Nothobranchius furzeri: one gene and its partner. Each later gene encodes a partner of the first gene's protein in a complex. Links are inferred from orthologs where the notes say so. Each region holds a gene or a part of one and is shown on either strand. Other genes may lie near its edges. The genes, in order: immt and chchd6a.

Region 1 (4,497 bases):
GCAAATTCCCTTCTTTATGGATCTACATCTTCCTCGGTTGCGCGCCTACAGCTGGTGCAGAATGCGGCGGCCCGCCTTTTGACGGACACCAGAAGGAGGGAGCACATTAATCCTGTTCTGGCCCAGCTGCACTGGCTCCCGGTGCGTTACTGCATCCAGTTTAAAATTTTACTTCTTGTTTTTAAGTCACTCCGTCTTTATGCTGCTCTGTACTTGACTCAGCTGGTTCTGCCCTACGTACCTGGTCCCAAGTGTTTGGGCGAGGACGCAAGGAGAACGCGCGTTCTCAATCTTTGCGCCTCGTCTCTGGAATCAACTCCCTCTAGCAGTGAGAATGGCCCCCTCTCTCTCCGATTTAAAATCACGCCTGAAGACTCATTTTTATTCCGTGGCTTTTACTTCAGCCGAGTTAGCATTGTACCATGTCTCTGTTTTATTTTTATTGATTTTATAGTAGTCACTGTACTACTTTTATTACTTTCTTCCCGTGTGTGGATTTTTATGCTCTTTTACTGTGCAGCACTGTGGTTGGCCTCGGCCGTGTGGGAATCTGCTTCATAAATAAAATGGAAGTTCCAAATAAACACGATGGTCGTGAAACTAAGAACATCTAAACTCTACCAGCGGAAGAAAAGTCCCCGCCATCCTGTTTATTGTTAGCTTTCTGCAGCACCAGGGAGCAGAACCTCTGGTTGCTGCTTTGAGTCTGCTCCGCTGCGGGGTTATGGCAAGCCACCGTAGCATGTAATTCACAAACGCATCTATCCGTGAACGCAATTTAAACTGGATTAGTGCCAACCCGTACATGTGTCACCATTACATGTTAGCAGTAGAAAGTAAATGTTATTAGCGTTTCCAGTAGCTAGCTACTGAAAATGCTAATTAAATTTTAACTAAGGATACATTTAGGTGACAGCGTGTTGTTTTGAACGCCACTGAGCTGTTATCTAATCAAGTTCCATTGTTAAATGTTCCCGTTTAATCTGATTAATCGAATCGATGACCCAAATAATCGTTTGTTGCAACCCTACACCGCGCTCTTTTGCCCCGCCCACATGCTCAGAGATAACCTCCTGACATCACAGGTCACTGACCGCCCATGTGCCCCCCCCCCGCTGTCTCACACATGTTCTGCACTACTCTTCTCTACCATTTCTGTCCTCGTCTCCGGCTCATCCACCGTCTGACCCTGGAACCAACCCTGCTGTCTGTTCCCGTCACCAACGAGTCCTTTAGGGTCTGCACCGCTCTCTAAACTCTTTCATCATCTAAATCATCTAGCTCATATCCTACCTGTGGATCAGAATCACTAACAATGAGGATTATTATTCCAACAAGCATCAGGCTCCTCAGACTACCTGACACTCGTCACTTCCAGAATGATCCCAACACCAGCTATTCTGACCACTTGTGAACAAGCAGCATCTTTTAGGCAGCGTAGTTTTAAATCTACAAGGTAATTCATGAAGTCCAACCAGCCTGTTGTCGTGTTTTAACGTCGCCATAATCAAATCTCGTATGCGTTTATTCACTCCGCTTGGCCCAAACGCAACACCAAATGAAGCTCATTGCGCTCCACAGCTGGCTCTCCTTCAGCGGCTAATCTGTGGTAGCTTCTGCAGGAGCGGCTGAGAAACGGTGAGAACCTCCTACCCTGTATGCTCTGAGCTGGCGGTGGTGGGACCAGACTGGACTCTGGGCCACTTGCCTCTGCTGCCTCCTTCACACTCTTCTGGGACTTGGCTTTGGGATCCGTTTTTGGTTTATCCAACATGGAGGGTGGCTGGTTCAACTCCACCTGAACAGAAACCATTAGAGATAATAAAAAAAATAATGTTATTGTTCCTAACTACTGAGCCACAACACGTCGAAACAACTTAGCAGCGTAGTCTAATCCAGCTCCTACAAGATCATCCCTGAGCCCCAAGTCCATCGACACGCTCAAATGGTTTACTTAAATCCAAACTTCCTCTGCTGGGAGACGAAAGTGAATTTTGTCACGGTACAGCTGCCACGTCATGTGACCATGAGATGATCTTCCATTTTCATCACAATCCCTAGTTTGTGGCAGCAGCTCAGGGAACACCTAAACCGCGCCTTCTGGTGGCGGCACGCCAGACAGCGAAGACAAAATCAGCACAAATGATGAGAGCCGTCGCTCTAAACAACAAGCCCCGCCCCCTTCTTTAGCTCAGGTGGACTTCACAGGAAAACCTTAACAGGTGACAGGAACTGGACTTTGCGTGTGAACAGGTGTTCACCTCCGCTCCTCACCTGTTTCCTCACAGGGAGACGGGCATCCTCAGGAGCTGGTCCCAGAGCCAGGCCCAGCAGCCAATCAGAGTACGGGACATTCTTCTCCACAGCTGCTCTGAACTTGGGGTCCCATTTGGAGTAGAGCAGTGTCCCTCCCACGCCTCCGCCTACCGTCACCAAGCCGAGAGCAACCACTCTGGAGGCGCCGCTGTGATGGGGAGGGGCAGACGGTTAGGTTTTTACCTGTGAGGTGTGTCCTTACCTCACCTGAGGGGTCAGTTACCTGCTCCTGCTGGTGGAGTAGCACCTGTAGGACTGCAGCGGAGTCAGAGGACTTCTCACACAGTTCTTCTGAAACACACAATGTCCCAGGTACAGTGAAGGCAGCATCTACGGTTGTGACGTCACCTCCAACTAAACTCACCTGTAAACATCAAATCTCTGAACACACAGGTCACCTGAGAGGTGCTCGTTAGGGTTCGGACCCTAATCCTTACCGGTACCGGAGGGAATGTAAACAAAGCCTAACCGCGGGCTAACCAGAGACGCCAAACTGGACCGGATGTCCTGGCACAAAACTGGTTCTGTTCAACCCTGAGAACCGTGGAACCTTGAGCTGGGTCACCGGATGACCCCACCATGCTAGCTGCTAACAGGACGGGTTCGGCTCTTACCCGGACCGTGGCGTGGGCTCCTCGCAGGCACACTCCAAGCATGGTCCTCGCTTCAACGGTCCGAGTCCAAAGCGGGTTCGGCGGTGGCACCACGACAACTTTCCTTCACACAGTCGCTCAGCGGACACAAACCAGAACCGGACCGGAACCTCCTCCCGCTGCCAGGCTTCACTTCCGGGTGGAAAAGCAACCCGTCTTCAGCGCCACCTGCTGGTGGGGAGTATGGCTCCATCCACGCGGACGTTCTCTCCTCTTTACCTGTCGGTCCTCGGGTGGTCTTCCTCCTGGCAGTAGATGGTGAAGGTCCACACTGTGGTCCGGCCCGCATCGCACCCGATTAGAGTAAAAACAGGTCCAACTGCCACCGGTCCCGTCCATCAGCTTCTAGTCATCACTTGCTGACTTCTCATTCTCACTCGACTCCCGCCATCAGGCACGGCTCGGCTGTGGAGGTCTCCGTAGGAGCAGAACCTTCTCTAGCTCTCCGTTCAACTATTCCCAGGAGGGGAATGCCGGGTCACAATTTCTGATCCAGTTTTCACACGTTCCCCTCCACTCCTTGATCGATTCCGTGGTCTTCAGAGAGCAAATGAAGTTTCATTGATGTTCTCCACCTGGTCCATCGTGAGCTCCTTCACCAAACACACTGGTTCCAGCATGTTTCCTAGTGCCGACACGTACACAAGAACAAACTCGTCCCGTACTCACTTCCACCTGAATGCCTCCCAAGTACTTTATTCCATAAAAACTCGGACCTTCTCAAGGATTTCAGGCACCAGTCAGAACCAGTAACGAGGTTGTTCTTTTTATTTTCATGTCTTCATCAAAAGCAAACAAACAAACAGTTGTAATAAGGACATATTAAAATTACACGTAGTTCATAACAGCAAACGTAAAACTGTCCGGCTCAACAGTCAAATCAGAGCTCTACAAAATATTCTACAAGCCGTCCGCCGTCGCTCCTCCTTAAATAACTCCTGGACTCAGGTCGATGCGACGTCTCCCCACCGGGACACAAACAGACGAGGACAACAGGGGCTCATCCCAGCAGTCTCCTGACGGGTCAAAGCTGGAATTATAAACCTGGTGGTGGAGTGATCTCCCTGAGCAGATGTCCAAGTTAAAAGTGTCCTTTTTACGGACTAAAAACAAATATTTGAACCCAAACGACTCCAGAACACACTTCCTAGATGCAGGTGGAGTTCAGCAGGAACCCCAACCATGAGCTACACCATGTCAGGCCCCCCTGGGCTCTCTGTCCTCTGGACTTTAACTGGGGTCCCCAGGTAGTCTTGATCCTGAACAACACAGAACAAGCAGATTCAGAACCGAGCCCAAAAAGTGTTAGGTTTAACCTGTCGGTTCGTAACTACGCTAACTCACCGTTACAGAGGAGGCGTGCACCCAGTGGGCGGTGGGGGGGTGCTCAGAGTGCGACAGGGTAGGGAAGTCCAACTCGATATCCATGACGTCACCAAAATCCAGCTCCTCACAGGGGTCCAGCTCCTGACTGGAGGAAAAACAAAATGACCTGCTGGGTTCGGCACAAGGAGGCTCCTCCGAGCCT
Region 2 (4,511 bases), on another chromosome or scaffold:
CCACCCACCTTCTCTGTTCTTCCTTGGTGAAGGAGACTGGTTTGCTGGACTGGCTGCTTGGTTTGGCTCGCTGTTGTTGGCTCTGCTTTGCTTGAGAGTCAGAGCTGGAACCGTGAGAAGAACCTGATGAAAGGAAGACAGAATATCAAAGGGTCGACCCTTGATGGAGGAGAAAGGAGAACATTTAATAAAATCACTGCAATTAAAACTCAACCTTACAGGTAAACTTCAGTGAAACAAATTAATCTTTAGTAGAGAATGAAAGAACTAATAATTTTATATAATCAATTTCCCTCTGGGATTAATCAAGTATTTTTGAATTTGAATTGAATTGAGATTATATAAATATATATATATATACATATATAATACATATATATATAATAAATATAAATTATATATATATATATACATATATATATACATACATATACATACACATATATATATATATACATACATATGCATACACACATATATATATATATATATATAAACACATCCTCTTGCTTGGGTGCAAGAGGTCCTGGGCTCAGATCCTGGACAAGCCCCCATGTTGCAGCCCCACAAGCTGGGCCTTAACATTTGAATAAAAAGGCACAACTTGTGAATAATAATTGTAAAACTAAGTGTTTTAGCTCTGTTGGCTGACTGGAGATGCACATTAACGAACAAGAGGCGTTGGGGCTTAAAGGTGCAATACAGTTTTTCACCTCTAGATGGTTCGCTCTGACAAAAGCTCAGGATGTCTTTTTTTAATGAGTTGTTTTCATTTAATTTAATGATAATTTAATGTAGTAAATTCATTACAGTACATTTTAATTACAGTTTGGTTGCAAAAAAAAAAGGCTAAACTTGTTTCTACAGACAGACAAAATCTGGTTATGTTGCTAGTAAAGAATAAAAACTGTCTTGTTGTGTATTTTTAGTTAAAAAATTAAGAAGAAAAAACAAGAAGGAAAGTGATTTTTTTTCTTTTGTGGTTTTGTTAAATTATTATATTAACAAGAGACAACTGGACCTTGAATTATATAAAGTAAACGGTGTTATTTAGGAAAAAAAAAGAGCGAAAACCTTTATCATTCTGGGGGCTCGGAGTTGAAGATGCTGATCGATTTGGAGCAATGTTGGCTACTCCTCTCATCCTCTGAAGAACGTCTTCTGACAGCTGACAAAAGAACAAATACAAATTTGATACAGCCAAGTTGAAATAAATACAAGCAAAATATTAGATCCTAAAGTTTTATTTTCTGTTTAAAATTTGGATTACGTGTTGTGATTTTTAATTTAAAAAATACTCTTATTTTTGTCTGGAACGGATCCAGCAAAACTTATTTATGAGCACACAGACTCACTGCAGCCGTGTAGTTTTGCCATTTGTAGAACCGTGTGTGTTTCGGGCATCCAAGGAAACTGTTAAGCTTTGTCTAAAACCACAGAAGGTCGTGCCATGTGTCGATGACTCACAGCATCTGAATGTGAAACTCAGTCTGGCAAGAATATTTATTTATGCGATTTTAACTTTATTGTCTTCTAATGAGACATTTTCAGACATTTTGATAATAGCAGGCAAAAAAAAATCCCTAATTATATTATTCGTTTTCCATTGCCCAGTGACCAGATGAATGAATGGTTAATGGTAAATGGTAAATGGCCTGTATTTGATATAGCGCCTTCTAGGGTCCTGGAACCCCCCAAGGCGCTTTACAACACAATCAGTCATTCACCCATTCACACACACATTCACACCCTGAAGGTGATGAGCTACGATGTAGCCACAGCTGCCCTGGGGCACAATGCACAGGCGCCACCGGTCACTCCGACCACCACCAGCAGGCAAGGCAGGTTAAGTCTCTTGCCCAAGGACACAACGACAGCGACAGACTGAGCGGGACTCGAACCTGCAACTTTCCGATTACGGGGCGAACACTTAACTCCTGTGCCACCGTCGTTATTACATTGCTGTTAATGGAACACAGAAATATAAAGAACATTAAAAATCATAGCCTAATTCTGCATCTACATAACTACATTCAACCAGTATGTGTCTTTTTCCACAATCAAGGTGTCATTTTGCAATTCAAATATATATTGTTGGCTTCATATTATTTTTGACACTTCCATAATTTACATTGTCACTTCAAAAGTTGAATAAAACCCAAGAATTCGATTTCTGAACGTGTTCATGAACGCACCCAACTGCCATTGAGACAGCCCTTCGCCAAAGTCCATTCAAATGTTGTTTATTTAAAGTCTCAATGCTGCAAAGCTAACATGATCTGCTGACATTAAAACATATCTATTACGATTTAGTGGTAGCTCGATATTGCAAGTAAAATAATAAATATATAAACAAAATTGAAAAATACCGAGAAGTTTGTTTTGATTTAATCTTTCCTCAGCTAAAGTTGCTACCAGTTTTAGTAACTAGTTACATCTACAGCCACTACGTTAAATTTATCTGAGCCGGATTCACCGGAATGCCTTTAAATATGTCATAGTTTATTTGTTCAACAGCTATATTTACTGTGTTACTCATTATCAGAGGGTACTGCTACAAAATAGCACATGTTGGCAGAAGTTTGGCGTAGCAAAAAAAGGACACCTCAACCTGCCTCGGTTCCTGCATTCTCCTCCAACCTTCATGCTTTAACAGGTGATGTTAGGATGACAGGCTTACTTACGCTCAAAAGTCGTGAAGCAACATGTTAAACGCTGCTTCGTTGTCAGCGTAGCACTAAAGTAATATGTTAGCATGGCTTGTCAAACGCTAGCTAAATTAGCCTTACCTTTATGCCACGAAGAATCCTGACTCTGTCCTCATCATCCACCCCGAAAGATACTTTTCTAGTCGTACTTTCTCCGGACCCCATCTTTATTGTGATAAGCTATATTTTTAAACAGCAAATGGATCTAGTGCACTACTGTTTATGTCGTCCTCAATGACAATGTGTGACAGATGGGAAACGGGTTGCCAGATTTGCTATAAAGAACCCTTTTTGTTGTTTGATATTTAAATGCCAAATATTTAGGTGAATAATATAATCTGTTCCCTGGATAGAAATGTTTAAAATATTTTTGTTATAACTATCATAAATTGTATTCGTAAGTAAATTTTAAAACGTTTCAATCATTTTACCTTTACGGGGTTTTCCTCCGTTCTGGCAACTCTAATTCCAGACGCTGCAAGACTGTGGAATGAATTTAAGTTAAAAAAAAAAGAATAACGAAACTAACATACAACTTTCTAGTACACCTATGTGATGAGCAGATTCACAAAATTGACTGCAAATATATTTATTTGTGCATAAATAATTTATTTTCGCAAAGCAGTTGGCCAGCTCAAGCTAAATGTCAGAGTTCATGTGAGCCACTGTTTGCCATTCACCAACTATATTCAGTAGATTACACACACACACACACACACACACACACACACACACACACACACACACACACACACACACACACACACACACACACACACACACACACACACACACACTTTCAAAAATCTATTTTGTGTTCAATGATCACACAAATTGGAAACATTATCCATATTAGAATATTTTATTTATATAAACATACCAAAAACAAACCAATCAACAAAAATAAAGGAAAAAAACCTCATGATCTTGCTTTTCCAGTAAATAAACAATTATGTTTGTATTGATCATTTGAACAGTAGCATCTGTCTTTTCCAGTTTTTGAGAATGTTTTGGCCCAAATGGTGAAACCCTGATACTGTATTTAGGACATAAATAACAAAATACAGATATGCAAATAAACTAGCATTTAAAGTGTTTCAGTGCTGAAACACCAAAGTAAAACCCTACATAATAGCATTTAAACAGATTTTATGCAGATTCAATGTAAGAATTATATTCCACTATTCAGCGTGATCCAGGACTCTGGTGTGTTCGAGTGAATGCTGAATGCTGGGTAAACGGGCTCCTTGAACACATGTCTAAAGGTGTGGAGGTGTTCCCTACAACCGTTGGTGCTGTGGAACTTTAAGGCCCCACCTTCATAGTCAAGAGCAATCTCAATCTTTGTAGGAGGACTGAGTGTTTCTGCCAAGGCTATATTGCTGGAGGCTGTGCACGCAGTCAGCTTCCCGTTTTTCCTCTGAAGTCTCCAGGACACTGTGTTGTGTCCCAGGCGACTATGGTCACCGCGCCGAAGGATGCTCTTGTAGCACACACCGAGGGACCACATGCAGCTGGACCCCACTTCTACCACCCACACGTGTATGCCACCTGAGAAACTCTGGGTGCACATGATCTGAGGAGCGCTAGCAAAACGCTCTGGGTGGTCCACGTATGACTGCTTGGTTGAGCTGTACTTGACCGTGCGCATGTCAGAGGAAATCAACAAGCTGGGATGTGCAGAGTAGACATTGAAGGTGAGCTCCTGGGGGTTCAGGAGGATGTGAAGACTTTCCAGGAGGCGAACCATTTCAGAGCGGAAGTCGTTGGTTTTGAGCTTTGACTGGAGATGCTTGGTGTTGA

Evidence for each region.
Region 2: immt (region 1) and chchd6a share a complex: the UniProt entries of both Homo sapiens proteins name them as parts of the mitochondrial contact site and cristae organizing system (MICOS) complex. The link is inferred for Nothobranchius furzeri from reciprocal best matches to the Homo sapiens genes IMMT and CHCHD6.

Annotation. Positions count from the first base shown.
Region 1 is NC_091741.1:108,909,225-108,913,721, reverse strand, and holds the start of immt (MICOS complex subunit MIC60), read right to left. Parts: upstream 3,107-4,497; 5' UTR 2,973-3,106; coding exon 2,931-2,972; intron 2,608-2,930; coding exon 2,540-2,607; intron 2,465-2,539; coding exon 2,275-2,464; intron 1,799-2,274; coding exon 1,654-1,798; intron 1-1,653. Other genes in the region: slbp (histone RNA hairpin-binding protein), read right to left, coding at 4,157-4,228, 4,314-4,440. UniProt on the Homo sapiens protein: Component of the MICOS complex, a large protein complex of the mitochondrial inner membrane that plays crucial roles in the maintenance of crista junctions, inner membrane architecture, and formation of contact sites to the outer membrane.
Region 2 is NC_091755.1:51,009,009-51,013,519, forward strand, and holds the start of chchd6a (MICOS complex subunit mic25a), read right to left. Parts: upstream 3,052-4,511; 5' UTR 2,874-3,051; coding exon 2,790-2,873; intron 1,169-2,789; coding exon 1,075-1,168; intron 124-1,074; coding exon 9-123; intron 1-8. Other genes in the region: E3 ubiquitin/ISG15 ligase TRIM25, read right to left, coding at 3,880-4,511. UniProt on the Homo sapiens protein: Component of the MICOS complex, a large protein complex of the mitochondrial inner membrane that plays crucial roles in the maintenance of crista junctions, inner membrane architecture, and formation of contact sites to the outer membrane.